Linked DNA regions of Danio rerio. The protein of the gene in region 1 purifies or fractionates together with the protein of each later gene. This does not show direct contact. Links are inferred from orthologs where the notes say so. Each region holds a gene or a part of one and is shown on either strand. Other genes may lie near its edges.

Region 1 (6,079 bases):
AAAAGCAGAAAGGGTGCATTTCAAGACGTGGGCCCCAATATTAAACATTCAAATGACTTTATTTTTTTGTTGCTTGAGGCCCCCAAACTGCTAAATCCACCCTTGGTGATATATTTTAAGAAAAAAAAAAATAGTAACATAAAATATATGTACATAATGCAATACAAATCAAAATTTTATAAAAATAAACATGCAAGCCGACTACCAAATATACATTTACATGCAAGTCAAATTGATTTATACCCTCCAGTCAAAGCTTCTGACTACATAAATATACTTTTTTTTTATTAATATTTTAGGGGTGAGAATGGCTCAGTCCTTAGTTCTATTCCCGGCTGGGTCAGTTGGCATTTCTGTGTGGTGTTTGCATGTTCTCTCCCCACAGTCCAAAGACATGCGCTATAGGTGAATTGAATAAACTAAATTGGCCGTAGAGAATGTGCGAATGAGTGTGTTTGGATATTTTCCAGTACTGGGTTGCAGCTGGAAGGTCATTCGCTGTGCAAAACATGCTGTATAAGTTGGCGGTTCATTCCAATGTGCTAACGCCTGATGAATTAAGGGTATAAGCCAAAGGAAAATGTTTGAATTTTGAATGCTGCATTTATTTCCTTGCGCACACACACACAGTACCCAAGTTTACGCATCTATCTACCTATTGAGAGAAATGCAGCATGCACAATTTAAACATTCAAATGATTTTTTTTATTACCAAATAAGCAGAAACAAAAGTTATACATTTTTTAATAAGCATACATAAACCACTTTTGTATCTACTTTTTAGACTAAAATTAAAACATGTTGGAGAAGAGAAAAAAAGAAGAAAAAAAGTGAATACCACATGATCATTCATGTTAATGATGTCTAGAAAGAGGGCATCACAGTGGCACAGTAGGTAGCACAATCACTTCACAGCAAGGTCCCTGTTTCAAGCTTCAGCTGAGTCAGTTGGCATTTTTGTGTGGCGTTTGCATGTTCTCCCCATGTTCACATGGGTTTCCTCCGGGTGCTCTCGTTTGCCCCAGAAGTCCAAAGACATGCGGTACAGGTGAATTGGGTAAGCTAAATTGGCCGCAGAGTATGCGTGTATATGTATGGATGGATGTTTCCCGGTGATGAAAATGAATGTCTAGAATGATAATGTCCTCCAGAGCACAAGATCTTATTAGCCAAGATTTATTCGATGCCAAAAGAAAAAAGAAAAAAAAGTTTGTGGGTTACAATATAGTTAAAACATTTTTTGACAAAAACAAGACTGTATGTAATGAATAAAAGTTCTACCTTAAAAAATACTAAATAAAAATATAATAATAAAAAGGTAAGTGACGTGTAGAACATTACAGTCATTAACATCTGTTCATTTACACAAGCCACATTTTTACCACAGAGTCATCAAATGTCATTTGGAGTTCACTGTTCACACATTTAGGCCATTTTCAGAATTTCAGCCAAAAATAGCAGAGGTACAATCTCTTATTACAGTTCAATCAACAACAAAATTCCTTCACTTAACAGCCAACATTTTTCCTAACAGGCCCTCTGTTTTAGAACTATAACTTGTGATGAGGATTTGTGATTGTATTCAGAAGCCGCGAGTGAAAACTCTCAAATCTCTGAATGTAACTGGGATAAATTCATAACTTTGTACAAACTTCAAGTCTGAACGCCTTAAAATGTAAATGTCTTAGGGAGTGTCCAACAGCAGCGGAAGCTTAAACGGTACTGGATGATTATGTCATCGATCAGTCTATTATTTGCAGATCTTTGGGAGCTGCTGTGTCTCAGCTCAACAGGGTCTACTCCATACTCTCAGGATCTGCCTGGGCCATATACGCATCCAACTCTGCATCCAGATGGCCTTTGGTTTTAGACATGTACGCATCAAGCTGGTTGTCCAACTGCTCGCGTGTGACGATGGGACGACCTGCTCCTCTGCCTCTGCCACGTCCACGACCCCTTCCAGCAAACCCTCCACGGCCTCTCATACCTCCACGGCCTAAGAGAGAACGAAATGCTTTAGTATGGTGAGATGGAAAATGCTTTTTGTATGGGTTTCACTGATTAGAGCAAAACTGAAAACACTACTAGCAGGGTTCTTACACCTTTTCCAACTTCAAATTCCAGCACTTTTCAAGCACTTTCAAGGTGCATTTGCATGCTTTTCCAGCACCTAATAGTAATAATTAATTGCACTTATACATGTTGTATGTACTTTTTCACATTTAAATACATTGTGCTACTTTAAAAACCACACGATATGACATTTCAACTTAAATTGAGTACTTTAGAGCATAGATTTATTGGGATAGTTCACCCAAAAGTGATTAAAAAATAAATAAAAAAATGTTCAGTTATTGGGTGAAGTATGTTTTTAAGTTTGGCCTCTTTCTACCTAAAGTTGATATCTTAAGAAATGAGCTTACAGTCAGATTTTGTTTGGGTGTAGTACCAAACTTTCAGGACCAGTCACTATTTTTTTTTTTTACAGTCTTTGGTTTTGCATTTCAGGTGCAAAAGATGCATTCTGGATGAATGTCTCCAAAATACGTATGAAGCTAATAGTGCCAAAACTATCCGAATTTGAATTGTTAATTTGAATTCCTAAAAACGTAAAACTTTATTTTTACATACCCAATATCTGCAGTCTTATTTTTACATACCCAATATCTGCATGAATTCAGAACCCAAAAAAAATCTGAAGTTTAAAAATGTCTATAAAAATCTGACTTCAAATATTAAGTTTTCAGATGTTCAATAATCAAGTTAAGAAATACAAATTCAAAACTTTTTTTAATAGGACATTCAGATTCAGAATGTTTTGGCTTATTATTAGCTCCATAAATACGCGCATGCGGTGAACATTTTGCAATGAAAACTGGTCGCACGACAACAATTTATGCACTAGCACACATGCTTCCAAATATATTTCGAGGTCACATAGATAAAATCGTGCGCATATGCAACCAAAACGGTCACAATTTTGAGCCCTTTAAGTTCAAATTCAAGCAGGTTCAAGCACTTTGTTCAAAACACAAGCACTTTTCTAACCTTAAAAACACTATATTAAAAATCAAGCATTTTCCAGGATTTCCAGCACCCGTAAGAACCCTGTACTTGGCAGAATTGTGCTTAATATTTCTCACCTCTTCCTCCAGGCATTCCACGTGCTGCACCTCGACCTCCTAGAGCTCCTCGTCCTGGAGCTCCTCCCCGATGACGCATCCCTCGGCGGAAACCCATGCGTCCAGGACCACCTCTACCTCTCATCTGACCTGCACCTAGGAAAAAAAAAAAAAAAGAGCAATCTTTTCACAAGAAGAAAAGAAAAAACACTTGTGGGATGCATGCAATAGTTCTCTTTAAGCAGGTCTGATCATATATATATATATATATATATATATATATATATATATATATATATATATATATATATATATATATATATATATATATATATATATAGAGAGAGAGAGAGAGAGAGAGAGAGAGAGAGAGAGAGAGAGAGAGAGAGAGAGAGAGAGAGAGAGAGAGAGAGAGAGAGAGAGAGAGAGAGAGAGAGAGAGAGAGAGAGAGAGAGAGATTTTGCTGCTCTGCCAGTTAAAGCACATTTGCGAACGTTCAATGACAATCTCAGTCAATTGTAATCATTTGTTATGATTCAATTTGAAATATCCACAACCATCATAGAGCCCCAGGGATTGGAGAAAGTGTGGGTTGATCTCACCCTGGTCCAAGAGCTATAACAGGGTATATGCAAGAATCCTAAAAGGTAATTTCAATACCTTTTTAAAACGGTTTAAAAGACCTTCTCGGAATATTTTAAGACCTCATCACTACTGCAAGTGCTAATCAGTATCAAACCTTTAACTTAAAGTTGCAGTAGGTGATCTTCTACAATGCTAACAGCTTAGCATAAATCTCTGAATCACAGTGCCTCCCCTGCCGTCTAAGAGCTACGCCTCCTGAAACACGAGCACCGCAAAAGAACCCTCTCTCATGTGTTAAAAACAACTAGTGCTTGTCCGGCGGCGTGCAAGCCAAACTGACATGCGATTTTAGAGGGAATATTTAGAGTTGCATGGTAAACAATATAGGGAGAGACTAGGCGTTTAGCTGTATTTACTTGTGTTTAGTTGTTAAACTAAATAAAATGTACATCATCGATGCTGTAAAAGGTCTCTTATGAAACTGAAAATAGTCTCATCAGTCCTTCATCGAAATATTTTAGTAGCTGAACAACATTTCTGTTAAGATTTAACCCATTTGTAACAACGTTACATCAGCTTTGCGTGAAGTTAAAACAGTTTTAAAACAGAACATTACTTGTCTAAGAGAAATCTTTCAGACATGTTGTCATCCTTTCTCCAGCATGCAAAGGTAACTCCAATACTGATTCAGGTTTTTAAAAAGTTTTGATTCAGCATGTTTTTACCGATCTCAGTCGGCGGAGATGCGTACAAACAGCTGCGCAGTTGTTCAAATCTGCATTTGCTTGCAAAGAGATTGTGCTACTTATCGGAATTGAGAGATGTCGGTCGGACTCCATTTAATAGGATGAACATTTTTTTGTTTTATGCCTTACCCAAAATATAAAAATACATATAAATACATTTAGATCATTTACTGTAATCATTACTATTAGACTGTGAAGAGACTTTGAACCAGCACAACAAAAAATGCTTCTGAAGACAATGACCTACTGCACCTTTAATAAACAGTTGTAGTTAAATCAACCATGCAACAGAATTCAGATAAGCTCGGAAGAAACCAAGCTTGAAAGAATAAATTACAGGGTTGTTTTCAGAGACAGGATTGAGCCACTGTTTAAACTCAACTTTCTTCAACCAGGAGTATGCAAACTTACATTTTCCTATTTACCACCTGTTTCTCTACATGTAGAGAGTGTCACATTACCGTCCTGCATTTGTCACCACCCGGACAGAGAAGCTTGGCCGGACGTGTCCCGGCCCGAACCAATCGTGTGGAACTGGCACGCTATTGTTAATATTAGGAGAAAAATAAATATATTTACACTGGTACACTTTGGAGAACAAAATGCGATTAAGATTTTTTTAGTAACTTTTAAGGGCCTTAATTATCTCATAATTGATTGATCTACTTTTGATACTTTAAGACCCCGCGAACACCCTATATAAAGTGGTGGGCGTTATCAGCGTTAACGCGAGACTCCCATCAGGTGATTTAAAAAACAAACACTGTTAGTCACTGTTTAGCTGTTAGTCTGTTCTCAAAGTTGGGTTGGGAGCTGGATCTGTTCTACACAAGCTATGATGACTTTTACCTTGATATTTTAGCGTTGATGTTTACTTGGCGGAATTGCACTGTGGGTGGCGAGAACGAGTCTTCAAACCAGTGTATTTCTACTCTGAAATTACCACATCAAACATGACAAGCTAACATGGATGCAGTGTGAATCTGATTAATGCTAGCTCCACAACTAACTATCAGGCACCTGTAGAGTTTATGCGTTAGAGTACAACATATATAAACAAAATGGACCGGGTGCTTTTTAAAATGAATGACGGTGAATGAAAGTCAAACCGGTAAGCCGTCTGACAAAAAAAGTGCCCTTCTGGATCTTTCACTTACTTCGAAGACACTACTGACTACGCTTACACAAACATCTGTAATGTAGTTTTGCCTTAATAGACAACATAATTAGGGTGCTTACGTGAAGTGCTTTCATGTAAGGGTTTCTTGTAATTTTGGGTGACTTTAACTGCAGTTCAGCAGTTTCACATTCACTCATGAACATTTCATTTGTTCCCCGTGACAAACTGGGGTATTATTAGACGCAAATAAGGAGTAAGGACTGGTGAGAGTGTTATGGAATTTAATTACGCACAACGAATGAAAAGAAAAAACTTCTGCATTTCGTGATGTTTGTGGCCCTTAACTGACAGCCGCGCACTTGGATCTTGTCAGAAAATTCGGCTTTAAGTCCTACCTGACGGTAATAAATTGATTGCGATTATTACTTCAATAATGCCACTAATATATATGCATACTCCACTTGTCTTAATTCCATTTTTGTTTAGTTCAGGTATGACTTTAGTTG
Region 2 (6,100 bases), on another chromosome or scaffold:
AAGGGATGAGAGAGAAACACTTTATCAAACATGACTGCATCAAAGCTAAAGATAATTTCCTTTCTTTTTATGTTTCGGTGTAAGTACTTTGGTTGTATACTCTTCCTAAGCCATTAAAGTGTTAACACAAACCAACTGCACTGAAGAATTAACTTGAATATATCTAATCTTGCATGTAGATGAATGGATGGATGGATGGATGGATGGGTGGGTGTAGATAGATAGATAGATAGATAGATAGATAGATAGATAGATAGATAGATAGATAGATAGATAGATAGATAGATAGATAGATAGATAGATAGATAGATAGATAGATAGATAGATAGATAGATTATATATTATTATTATATTTGTTATTATTACATTTAATAAAATTATTAAATAGTTTCAAATATTTATATTTATTCAAATATTAAGTGACGTTTAATGAAGAGGCGATCATCTTCCAACATGCTTTAAAACTTTTGTCTTTGTATGTGCTGACAGAATCTTTTAGTTATTTTGAAAGATGCTTTTATACTTTGCAAAGGTGCAGTATGTAAATTTATTGAGCTGTATTACATTCCTGGATCAAAACAAACGCATGCGCAGGTTATTAGAGTGACGACCAATACAGGCGAGTCTGACTGTCTAGCCTAAAGGCTGATTTAAACTGCGTTCTATACAAAAGCTACGTAATAGAAGGATAGAAGGAATATTATTCATTTATTTTGTCCTAACAAACTCCTTCAATTGATAAATTAGAAACAGTTTCTATATCTTGCAGCTGAACAACAGAAAACTTTGACAATGGTCACCTCATGTGCTTTATTCAGTGTTAAATGTTAACAATGTGAGTTTGGATGGCATTTTACATGACATCTATTGCCATATACTGAAAGCAGCAGCAGATAGTTCACCTCAGATATTGAAAATAAAATAAACTGATTGAACTTTAGAATTGTGACTCAGTGCAAGACAACACAAATGAGTGATTCAGCATCTACATTTAATAATGTCAAAGAGGTTTAATATGTATTAAATAGATTTTTTAAAACTTACCTTTTCATGAGTGAGTACATATTCTGTGCCTCTAAATGTCTTTATTTAAATTTCTTTCATGTTTCTTCTGGTGCAAACAGCTAAATTGCTAATAACTACTAATCTTGTCATGTAGCATGTTGTTAGGGCATGCGGTTACAATGTAACCTGCTCACCTAATGTTTACACTCGTAATATTTATATTATTTGCAAATTAATAACCTCATGTGGAACTGAATCTGCGTCTCATTCCAGAGTCTGCTACTTTCTCACGGAGGTAGCGTTGTGGTCATGGAACCATGCTTTGAGAGCCTTTCTGAATGAATGAATGAGTTACTGAATGAATGAATGAATGAATGAATGAATGAATGAATGAATGAATGAATTGCTCCGTTTTTCACCAAGGCAACCCGGGGTGCTAAAATATAATCTAAAGTTGCAATAGGTGGGTTAAAATAACCAAAACAGAGACAGACGTTCCGGCACATAACTTACATTTACAAAGCAGAATATCTGACTTTAACATTGTTTTTCAGATAAACAAGAATGTTCATGTGGCATGTTTACTAAACATCTGCAAACATATTATAGTATTTTTATGCTTTAGAAGAGTCAAAACATACAGTACTTTTAAACTACGATTTAAAGGCTTATCAAAAGTTATTTATTAGTTTTACATTCGACAAGTTATCAAGACAAGCAATCAATCAAAAACAAAATGCTAATAATTCACATCTATATCACAAGTAAGCTAATAATACTGACCCTAAAATTATTATTATTTTTTTATTATTAAATTAAAAATATATATAAATTAGGTACAAATGTGTGACAATAAGAATTTATAATTTTGTAAACCATTGTTACAGATATAACATTTTGATGATAAAAACTATACTATGTATTTGTGATGTAGGTTAAAATTACAGGATAAATAAAATAAAATCATTAAATTATAAAAATTTAAATATAGAAATATTTGTAAATAATATTGTAAAGCCTATTTCTAATATTTAATTTTTATTTATGTGTGTGTGTGTGTGTGTGTGTGTGTGTGTGTGTGTGTGTGTGTGTGTGTGTGTGTGTGTGTGTGTGTGTGTGTGTGTACGTGTGTGTGTACAAAATTTAAACAAATATTTGTAAACAGTATTGCAAAGTCTTATATACATCGTTTATCCATAAATAATAGTAAATAGGCTGACTTCTTTTTCACTTGCAGTCATTTGAATATTACATCAAAATAATGAATACAAAATATGAAGTAAAAATTATAAGTAATGTCATTAACGACAAAAATAAATACCATTTCCGTAACAGTGAAAAAGCTTTTATCTTGAAAAGCCAACGCTTCGCCTACACCGGAAGTGTGATCGTTTCTTGAACATTCCTGCTGTTTCCTTCGCTGCTAACAGTGAATAGCCGTCAGTGGTTACCCCAGCGTTCAACGCCACTTTTATACATCAGGACCAGATATGGTAAGTATTTTGTCGATGTTTTTTCTACTCGTATATATCCTTAGACAGCCACCATATCAGAAAAATCGCGTTTCACCGACTGCTCCAACACATTCAACAAAAATAAAAGTGAACGAACGCGCGCGGCTAGCAGTGTGTTACGAGAGAACGTCGAATAATCCTCAACACAGCGAGCTTTCATGTGTCTCGAAATACCACACATGCAAAGTTAGGTTCTTTGTTGAAAGTTCGACCGGAACAAACTCCTGTTCAGCTTCAGTATTGGTAATATCAGTGTTTGTGAGGAACATGTAGTGTTTTAGTTTGGGGGAGGGTTCGAGTACAACAGCTGCTGTTTTCTGGGTATTGTGTCAAAGCATCCATATCAGCTAACGTTATATTCCCAAAGTGTATTTAGTTCATACGTCAAACATGAATAACTAAACAACACGTCATGTTTTTGAAATGAACGCACGATTAATCTCACTGTCAGGAGCCAAAGCTGTGTTCCTGTCAGTAGGGGGCTCCACGCAATTGTTTAATTCGTCGTCTAGATATGTAGTGTTTCTAACTTTTACTTGATTTATGATATAAACACAATAAAATGTTTTTTTCTTTATTATCGTTCAGTCTCACACAATTCTGCTGGTGCAGCCCACCAAGAGACCAGAAGGCAGAACATATGCAGATTATGAGTCTGTCAACGAATGTATGGAAGGTAGGATAATTCTTTTCTTTGTGTGTGTTATAAACAATTATAATGCTTTAAAGGGATAGTTCACCCAAAAATTGAACTATTGACCATAGTAGAAAAAACAAAAACTATGGAAGTCAGTGGCTTTAGGATTTCACCTCTCTTTAAAATGTCTTCAGAAAGTAAGAAACTCAAACTGGTTTTGTAACTGTGAAGAGAAAACAAATTTTTTTTGGGGTGAACTATCTTTATTGTACACTGAATATTGCACTACTACTTTTAATGCGTGTTTAACCATTTTCCTTCTTACCAAAAGGAGTGTGTAAGATGTATGAAGAGCATCTGAAGAGAATGAATCCCAACAGTCCCTCCATCACATATGACATAAGCCAGTTATTCGACTTTGTTGATGATCTTGCCGATCTCAGCTGTCTTGTGTAAGTAATCACACTTTTCACTTGACAAAGCCTAATGTCTAAGGTCCCGATTACACTAAAAAGTTTTAGTTTTAAAACGCATAAGTTTTGCTACAGTGACGTCTTCCGTTCAGATTACCCCAGAGTTTTAGATCATTGAAAGCGGAGTGTTTTGGAAATGCTGAAGAGGTCGCTTTTGTGTTAACCCTTTAACTGTCTGCTCTATCAAATGGTTGACCATATTTTGATTGTTTTAAATTAAGGTTTACACAAACAGCATTGTTGCTTTACAAAAAATCTAACAAACATAATCCTCTTGCACTACTACACTTAGTTTTGATTTTATTGTAAAAAGCAAAAAAAAGAAATCTTGAATTATTTAATAATAAGAAATATTGTATGGCATACTTAAAAAAATAAAGATGATTCAGTATTTAAAATGTTTTATTTAAATTGTTTTAAAATGAGTCATATTGTTATAAATTAGTCTTACACTTCATGTTTTTAGAATTTTTATAGTATGTGTATTGATTCTTAGTACTTTTACCATAAACCAACATATTATCCACTTGGTAGCGGTTGATATTTTTAAAATTATGGGATGTGATGGGGAAAAAATGCATCGAGTGTGTTAACTTTAGAATTTAAGAAATGCAATCCCAAGAAAAAGTTCTTGGTGGGGAAGTTAAAGTGTTAAAATACTGCTGAAAAATAGAGGCTCAAAACGGATCGGATTCAGGCCTTTTCCCAATATTAAATGCAATATTAAGTTCAGTCTTGCATCCTTTCCTTGAAAGTTCAGACTTTGCAAGTTTTATATGGAAAACTACCTCCTGAGGACACGTCGGGTAAATTTTCAATGGGAACAGTGTACTTTATAACAATCACAGCGTTCATATAGTCATTCATGTCACTCTGACTACGCTGCTTCACTATCTTAAAAAATCAATGAAAACATGATATAAGGATTTAAATAGACACCAAAAATGTTCAGGCATCGTATAGCTACATACTTGTATTACTGTCATCTTCACAGTATGCATATTTATAAGAAAACGGAGCCTGTAGACCCATAGGTTTCCAACCTTTTTTGCCTGAGACCCCCTTTTCTGCTGGAAAATATAGTGAGGCCATCCTCAACATTTAATGATATTATCGCTCATATAAGTTTGCAGTAAGGATGACAAAAAATGTTGCTTTCAAAAAGACTGTATGACTGTATCTCAAAAAGACTGTACTATTATCTCTCCTCCTTGGCGAAATTCTAGGCAAATGGCCAGTGTGGATGTGGATAGTTTTTGTTGTTAATTGCCGTTTTAAAACTAAAACATATCGGTGTAAACAGGGCCTATTAAATGCTCATGCTCGTCAATCATGTACAATTGTCTTTAATTATTTGAACAGGTACAGAGCGGACACACAAACCTACCAGCCTTACAACAAAGACTGGATCAAAGAAAAGATCTATGTGCTGTTGAGGCGTCAGGCCCAACAGGCTGGAAAATAAAGACGGTGGAATTATTGAACTAGTCCCCAACTACGCTTCATCACAGGACAGACGTGGCTGAACTGAACAGTGAATTGATGCCAACTGGTTCAGATTTTGTTGAATGCATGTCCTTTGAGTTATGTCAAAAGCATAGAGTGAAAATATTTTGCATTTTAAATCACATTTTTGTAACTTCGGAGTTCGGGACTTGGGTTATTTATCGGGCTAGAGGGTAATATTGGGGAAAGAAAAGTTTTAGGATTTTTTTCGTTGTTGTTGCTCCCGATCCCTCCCAATTAATGATGTTTTATATTGTGGATTTATTTTTGATTTAGTAAAGTATAACATTTACACATTTCAGATGTTGTTGAGATGGTTCCGAGTTATTCTTATATCCCAACTTTTGTCCTCTGTGTTGTTAAAGGTTTTGTTGGCCCTCTCTGATTTGTGCATCCAGTAGTAAAAACTGGCAAACAATAAAATTCTTCTCAAAAAACGTGGAAATGTCAGTGCTTTTTTCTTTTTTTCTTAGCCTAAAGAGCCCATATTATGGGTTTTTGAAAATTCCCCTCCATGTAGTGTGTAACACAGCTCTAAGTGAAGTGGAGTATCCAGCTAAGGCTTAAATCTGTTAGTGTACAGTGTTAAAAACGGTTGATTCATCTAAAAAAGAGTCGACTCATAGTGCTTCAAACGAGTCGCCTTGATACGGATTCATTAGGTGTTTCGCCATGACGTACGAACGAAACCAAGTTATTCACGTGCACGCGCAAACCCGGGAGATTTCAAACCTGAGGCCCCGCCCTCTGACGCAGAAACCGAGACACACACACACACACACACACACACCCACAAACACACACACACACAAACATGCCGGTCGATTGAAGTCACACTGCAGATGGATATATTGAGTCTCTACCCAAAGATGAAACCTCAGCATTATAGCCAAGCAGTTGGAAACTACTGGAAACTTCTGGAAGCTACATGCTACAAAGAATACTTCATCAGCGTTTGTTAAAGG
Region 3 (6,100 bases), on another chromosome or scaffold:
CACTGTGGATTACCTTTGATAACTGCATATTATGCACATATAGACTGTAACCATGGCTGTTCTTCCCGTGTCACTCATCAGTGAACAGCACTTTTATGTCTAAAGCCAATCACAGCTGTTTCTGTCAAACGGGTGAAGACAATAACCAGTCATAGAGGCAAGACCTCACTCAACAACGCTCAAAGCAAGTGGGATAATATTTCCATAAGTTTATTGCCTAAAAATGCTCATGTTGTCTTCTGTGTATGTATTGGGAGTTTTGTTTGATACCTTGAAAAAGAGTGTTTTCTTTGAGCAGGTCAAATTAAAGGTACAGTTCATATATCTTACTTCTTGTATTAAAGGACAAAATTGTGTTACAAATAATATATAAATATTAATATATTTTCAGATTTTAATAAAAAAAAAAATAGTGTTGGGAGAAAAAAAAAAAAACTCATTTTGCACTGAGATATCGAATTAAACTGAATCGATGGCATGATAATCGTTACCGAACCGTGAGACCAGTGTAGGTTAACACCCCTAATTAATATTAAAGAAAGTGAAAACGTTTAGAAGTGATTAAGTTGTAATTTTACAATATAATTTCCAAATGAAGAGCTTTTAGACTTCATAAATTAGAAACTGGAAAAATGTTCAATTTAATACAGAAATCAACCCATTAAAATGGTAACAAGATATATATGACCATCCCTACACTTTCACTAAAGGTGCTAAAAGTAAGACGTGCACACAAGGCTCACATTATTCTTGACGTTGGGCTTCATGCTGATAGTGCCAAAGATCTCCTCTCCAGTCTTTACTGTCAGATAGTCATCAAGGTAGAACACAGTCTGCTTCCAGTGAGTGTAAGGAGACTCTGGGCCTGCAAGCAAAACTCACTTTAAACAGGGTTCAACCATCCTTCAATACAATAAACTCGTGGTGAATACAAAGTGATTTTGTGGTGAACACCACACACAGCACTTACTGGTAGAGAAGCCTGTCCTCTTGTGGCAGCGAGTGAACTCTATGTTGAAGTAGGTTACCAGAGCATGAATGTAGTCGTTTCTTTTCACCTGCAGGCAGAAAGGTGACGTGAAGGACAGGTCCTCAATCTTCACGGTGTAGATGTCCACCTCCTAAGGAATCAAGAAAACGTATTGAATATTAAATGAGGAAAGCAGGGATTATGTGAACATTGGAAAATAAAAGGTTGCAAACAAACCTTAATTAAGCAAGCAGTGCTAACAAGCTGTTTGGGATCAACAACATCCACCAGCGGCTCTGTAATGGCCACTTCCTTAATACAGGACATGTCAAATCCATACACGTTCTCCCACCCTAAAAAAGTGCAAATATGAAACAATTAAATGAGTTACTGCTTTAAAGAAAGCTGAACAGACTCAAGAGTGCATTAAGAGATTGATGCGTACAGTGGATTTTGTAATCCTTGTACTGCCGATCCTCGATAGCAGTGACATAGAGGGTGGCTCTGTCAGGAAAAATCAGGCCATCAGGTTTCTGAAAGCCAACAATGGAAAACGTGAACAGTGATTAAATCAAGAAAGCACATACGATTTTATACTGAACAGTTTCAACATGGTAAAAGACATTAGCATACACCCACCAGCCATTTGTCCCTGGCATAAATGACGGTGTTAAGCATGGATTCATAGAAGAGACAGTAGCCCATCCACTCAGAGATGATTATGTCTACATTTTCCACAGGAAGCTCGACCTCCTCCACTTTGCCCTTAATTATAGTGACGACTGGACAGGAAAAAGTACATGGTTAAAAATTTTAGGTACATAAAGAATAAAATGGGTATAGGCCAAAACTGTTAATCCAAAACTGAAAATGGTCATTGTTTAACCTCCCCTCACTCATTCTAAACCTGTGATTTTCTTCTGTTGAACACAAAAGATGATATTTTGAAGAAAGATGCAAACCTGTCACTACGGTTACCAGTTTACAGCTTTCTTCAAAATATCTTCTTTGGTGTTCAACAGGAAAAAAAGAAACTGATAGGTTTAGAACCACTTGAGAGGGAGTAAAACTTCATTTTTGGGTGAACTATCCCTTGAAACATGCTGAGAAAATAAGTTAACAATGAAGATGCCAAAAGCTCTGAGAAGGCCTTACTATGATCCAGCTTGTTGGCCTTCACAATCTTCACAGCATAGTCTGATATACTGCTGCACTCAATCTAAGGAATAAATGACCAACAAATTAATAAATTAATCTGACAATACACAGCATGATCAAATAATACCACATACAAATAAATGGCTTAAATGTAACAAAAATGCTTTAAATAAATCATGGGACTACTTCTCACCCCAATAACTTTCTTGGCTCCAGCTTTGGCTGCAAACATACAGAGGATGCCAGTACCACTTCCCACATCCAGCACAACTTTATCTTTGAAGAGATGCTTGTTGTGAAACATGGAGTTTCTGTACGTCAAAGTACGAACTTCATCTTTTAGCATCTCCTGTGAAGATTCAATGGGTTTACATTAATTATAAATAAATTAAATTGACTTCACCACTAATGCTGAGATTAATGAACTAACAAGAAAGTACCTCATGAATGCCAAAGTGTGCATAGGAATCAAAGTAATAGTCTTTGGACGTCATGTCTTCAGCTGCAGGTTTCGCTGAGCTCTCTCCCTGGGACACCTCAATTTCAATAGATAAGAAAAATGTAAATAAGCAAGTAAAGTCATGAGCTGGGCTTTTCTCAAACATTTGCAGTATCTTCAGTATATTAAAACAAACAAGCAAGCAATAAGGTACTAGTCAAGAGATGACCCAAAACATGTTTAAACCAAACATGCCAAGTGTAAATAACCCTGAGTAAACAGTGTTTTTACACAGAACTACATAAAGTCGGTGGCTTCCTCTGAATTTAGTTCCAACTTTTGGCAAATATCACAGCAGGCAATGAACCATTTTACACATTTTTTTTTAAAATGGATAGTTAAGCAAAAAAAGTCATATTTTATCTTCACACGCCTAACGTTAACCTTTGAAGAGTCCTCTTAAGCTTAAATTTTTCTACTTTTTAATTATACACATTTGAGGAAAAGTGGTCTAAAAGAAAACTTAGTCACGACGCAAGTACTAGATCATAGTAAACAATACAGGATGTTTTATTAAAAAACCCAATCACTGTGATTAGCAGAGAGGAAAAAAAAGCGTAACGTTAGCTCCTATCCATCAGTCCCATGCGGTCTCTGCCCAACAATAAGTCATTGAAGTCCTCCGCCAGCGTGCTCACGTGGAAACTGAACAGCGAGCTAACGGTAGCTAACATGACAGAAATATTCATACATTTAATCTCAAAATTCATCTGTGGTTACACTCAACAACTAAAAACTCGAAGCTAGCTCAAATTTAGCACATTAGCACTAGCATACACGTGATGCGAAATGAATGAATTATCTGCGGCAGGCTAAAATGGATGCTCAAGATGCGTGTGCGCACATTTCTAGCCACCTGATAACTACATACGCAGCAATCAAATCTGTTCACAGACCAAAGATTCGGAACCGGCGTGTGACGTAAATAAAATCGCCGTGTCGATTCTGATACGGTTACGAGATATTTAGCATCAGAAGCGTTTTTGGCGAACCGGCCTTGAGTAGCTTCAGCTTACCTCCATTCTGTCTGCCGTCTCCGCCATTTCGATAAACTGGACACAGCCGCGACTGCAGCAAAGCTCATGTAAAACACACTTGTTTTGCTCCCGCCTCTTTGCTGTGACTGTATGATTTGATTGGGTGACAATCACGTGGTTTTACAATAACCACACCCACTTTCCTGCGGCTCTTCGTCATAGGCTTTTCTACTATGCGTTTTTCCGCTCTTTTGATGCGTGACTGTCATTGGTCCAAACTGTAACATGATTATTATTTATTTATTTTATCTCAAATATTATTTTACAGAATTTTACTGTGAATCCAACATTTATTATTTTGGGTTGTAGATACAAATTTAATGTCTGCTTCACAATAAACCCTATTCTATTTTTATGTAAATTTTATATTCATTTATTCGTTTTCCTTCTGCTTAGTCCCTTTATTAATCCGGGGTCGCCACAACGGAATGAACCGCCAACTTATCCAGCAAGTTTTTACGCAGCAAATGCCCTTCCAGCTGCAACCCATCTCTGGGAAACATCCACACATGCATTCACACACGCACTCACACACTATGGACAATTTAGCCTACCCAATTCACCTGCACCGCATGTCTTTAGACTCTGGGGGAAACCGGAGCACCCGGAGGAAACCCACGCAAACGCAGGGAGAACATGCAAACTCCACACAGAAACGCCAACTGAGCCAAGGCTCGAACCAGCGACCCAGCAACCTTCTTGCTGTGAGGCGACAGCACTACCTACTGCGCCACTGCTTCGCCCTGCCTATATTTTATATTTATAAATAAAATTTTCAAATATAAAATCCACTTGTGTATTTTATACAAGAGATCAAAATTTACTTACAATTCCAGATTCACTTAACAAGAATGCACTCAAAACGTAAACAATTTGCACAACATGTGTAATCTATTAAATATCCCAATCTTTGTTATCTTTTTTATTTTGCCCTTTTTATTTTCAATTTCATTATCTGTTGCATCTATTCTCAGATTAGATAACCTATTGATATCATATTTCTTTGTTTTGATTTCTGTTGTTTTTTGTTCTTGTGTTGTTTCTTTATTGGTACCATTGTAAATAATATAATTATTATTGTAAATGTTATGTACCAAATGTATCTATATGTTGTACAATAAATATGAAAAAATATTTTATTTTGCACAAGTTTCTGTATTCCATTTTATTTCTGTTTATGGAACACAGTGGCTTAGTGGTTAGCACTGTCGTCTCACAGTAAGAAGGTCGCTGGTTTGAGCCCCAGCTGGGTCAGTTGGCATTTCTGTGTGAAGCTTGCATGTTCTCCCTGTGTTGGCGTTGGTTTCCTCCTGGTGTTCCGGTTTCCCCCATAGACCAAAGCCATGTGTTATAGGTGGATTGAATAAATTAAATTGGTGTAGTGTATGAGTGTGAATGAGTGTGTATGGATGTTTCCTGGTACTAGGTTGCAGCTGGAAGGGCATCCGCTGTATAAAACATATGTTGGATAAGTTGGCGGTTCATTCTGCTGTGGCGTCCCCTGATGAATAAAGGGACTAAGATGAAGGAGAATGAATGAATTATGGTTTCATTGTTTTCATGTAAATTTTATTAGTTGGACTTTTGTCAAGCTAATAGAAAAGCTTACAAAATCTTTTTAGGAAACCATCCTTTAGTCATGTGTTTTGTTCACAAAATAAACTATATGGTTATAATTATACAAAGTAAGCAAAGTTTGCAAAGTAAGCACATTTCTAAAAAAAAGAAGGCATTGATAAAATAGGAGACAATAATGATTATTTACAAAACAACATCTGGAGAAAATGGATGTTTGTACATTATCATACTATGGGATTTAGCTCAGATTAAGACCAATGTCCTCCTTGTTACATCTTCTATGAGAAAAAAAAGTTAGTTTGGTAATTTTTTCATTTTTCATACTTAACAGGAAATAATATTGTTTGGACAACATTCTTGAGAATATGATCTTGTATTTATGTATCATGGCAAACAATTTTTAAAGAACACCAGTGTGAGCAAATGGTGACACTTTTTCTTTGATGAATAGTTCCTATAAATCAAAGTTTACATTATATAACATTGTTCAGTTCCTGGTGAATTGTAACAGAGACCATACAAAAAGAAAATATATTTATTTACCATGTACAAGATGGTTATGCATCATCAAATATAGCTTACTTTGTTGAAAAAAACAAACATATTTGCAACGAATGCTGTAAACAAATCAAATGTGTAATTTTATTAATAATATATTCAACATATTTTATCTTTTTAATTTATTTATTTATACTGCAGTGGGTACCTAACTGAATTGGCCACCATTGTCCACAATAAACATATTTGATATTGCCTTAAATGCTAAATTTAATTAAAGAGATTTAGAAAATGCCTCAAAAACTGTAAGATTTAATTAGTTTAGATCATTGGACAAGTGAGTGCTGCATACTGTTGACA

Evidence for each region.
Region 2: the proteins of chtopa (region 1) and erh purify together in Homo sapiens (affinity purification with mass spectrometry; 3 studies listed by BioGRID and IntAct, with this or other methods). This does not show direct contact. The link is inferred for Danio rerio from reciprocal best matches to the Homo sapiens genes CHTOP and ERH.
Region 3: the proteins of chtopa (region 1) and prmt1 purify together in Homo sapiens (affinity purification with western blotting; 7 studies listed by BioGRID and IntAct, with this or other methods). This does not show direct contact. The link is inferred for Danio rerio from reciprocal best matches to the Homo sapiens genes CHTOP and PRMT1.

What each region holds. Positions count from the first base shown.
Region 1 is NC_133194.1:26,306,289-26,312,367, forward strand, and holds the end of chtopa (chromatin target of PRMT1a), read right to left. Parts: intron 3,279-6,079; coding exon 3,144-3,278; intron 1,997-3,143; coding exon 1,797-1,996; 3' UTR 1,161-1,796; downstream 1-1,160. UniProt on the Homo sapiens protein: Plays an important role in the ligand-dependent activation of estrogen receptor target genes. May play a role in the silencing of fetal globin genes.
Region 2 is NC_133195.1:36,360,775-36,366,874, reverse strand, and holds erh (enhancer of rudimentary homolog), read left to right. Parts: upstream 1-2,364; 5' UTR 2,365-2,495; coding exon 2,496-2,498; intron 2,499-3,107; coding exon 3,108-3,195; intron 3,196-3,487; coding exon 3,488-3,608; intron 3,609-4,991; coding exon 4,992-5,094; 3' UTR 5,095-5,580; downstream 5,581-6,100. UniProt on the Homo sapiens protein: May have a role in the cell cycle.
Region 3 is NC_133178.1:31,171,023-31,177,122, forward strand, and holds the start of prmt1 (protein arginine N-methyltransferase 1), read right to left. Parts: upstream 3,762-6,100; 5' UTR 3,671-3,761; coding exon 3,644-3,670; intron 2,665-3,643; coding exon 2,569-2,664; intron 2,478-2,568; coding exon 2,322-2,477; intron 2,190-2,321; coding exon 2,126-2,189; intron 1,753-2,125; coding exon 1,610-1,752; intron 1,504-1,609; coding exon 1,416-1,503; intron 1,324-1,415; coding exon 1,208-1,323; intron 1,122-1,207; coding exon 971-1,121; intron 866-970; coding exon 744-865; intron 1-743. UniProt on the Homo sapiens protein: Arginine methyltransferase that methylates (mono and asymmetric dimethylation) the guanidino nitrogens of arginyl residues present in proteins such as ESR1, histone H2, H3 and H4, FMR1, ILF3, HNRNPA1, HNRNPD, NFATC2IP, SUPT5H, TAF15, EWS, HABP4, SERBP1, RBM15, FOXO1, CHTOP, MAP3K5/ASK1, MICU1 and NPRL2.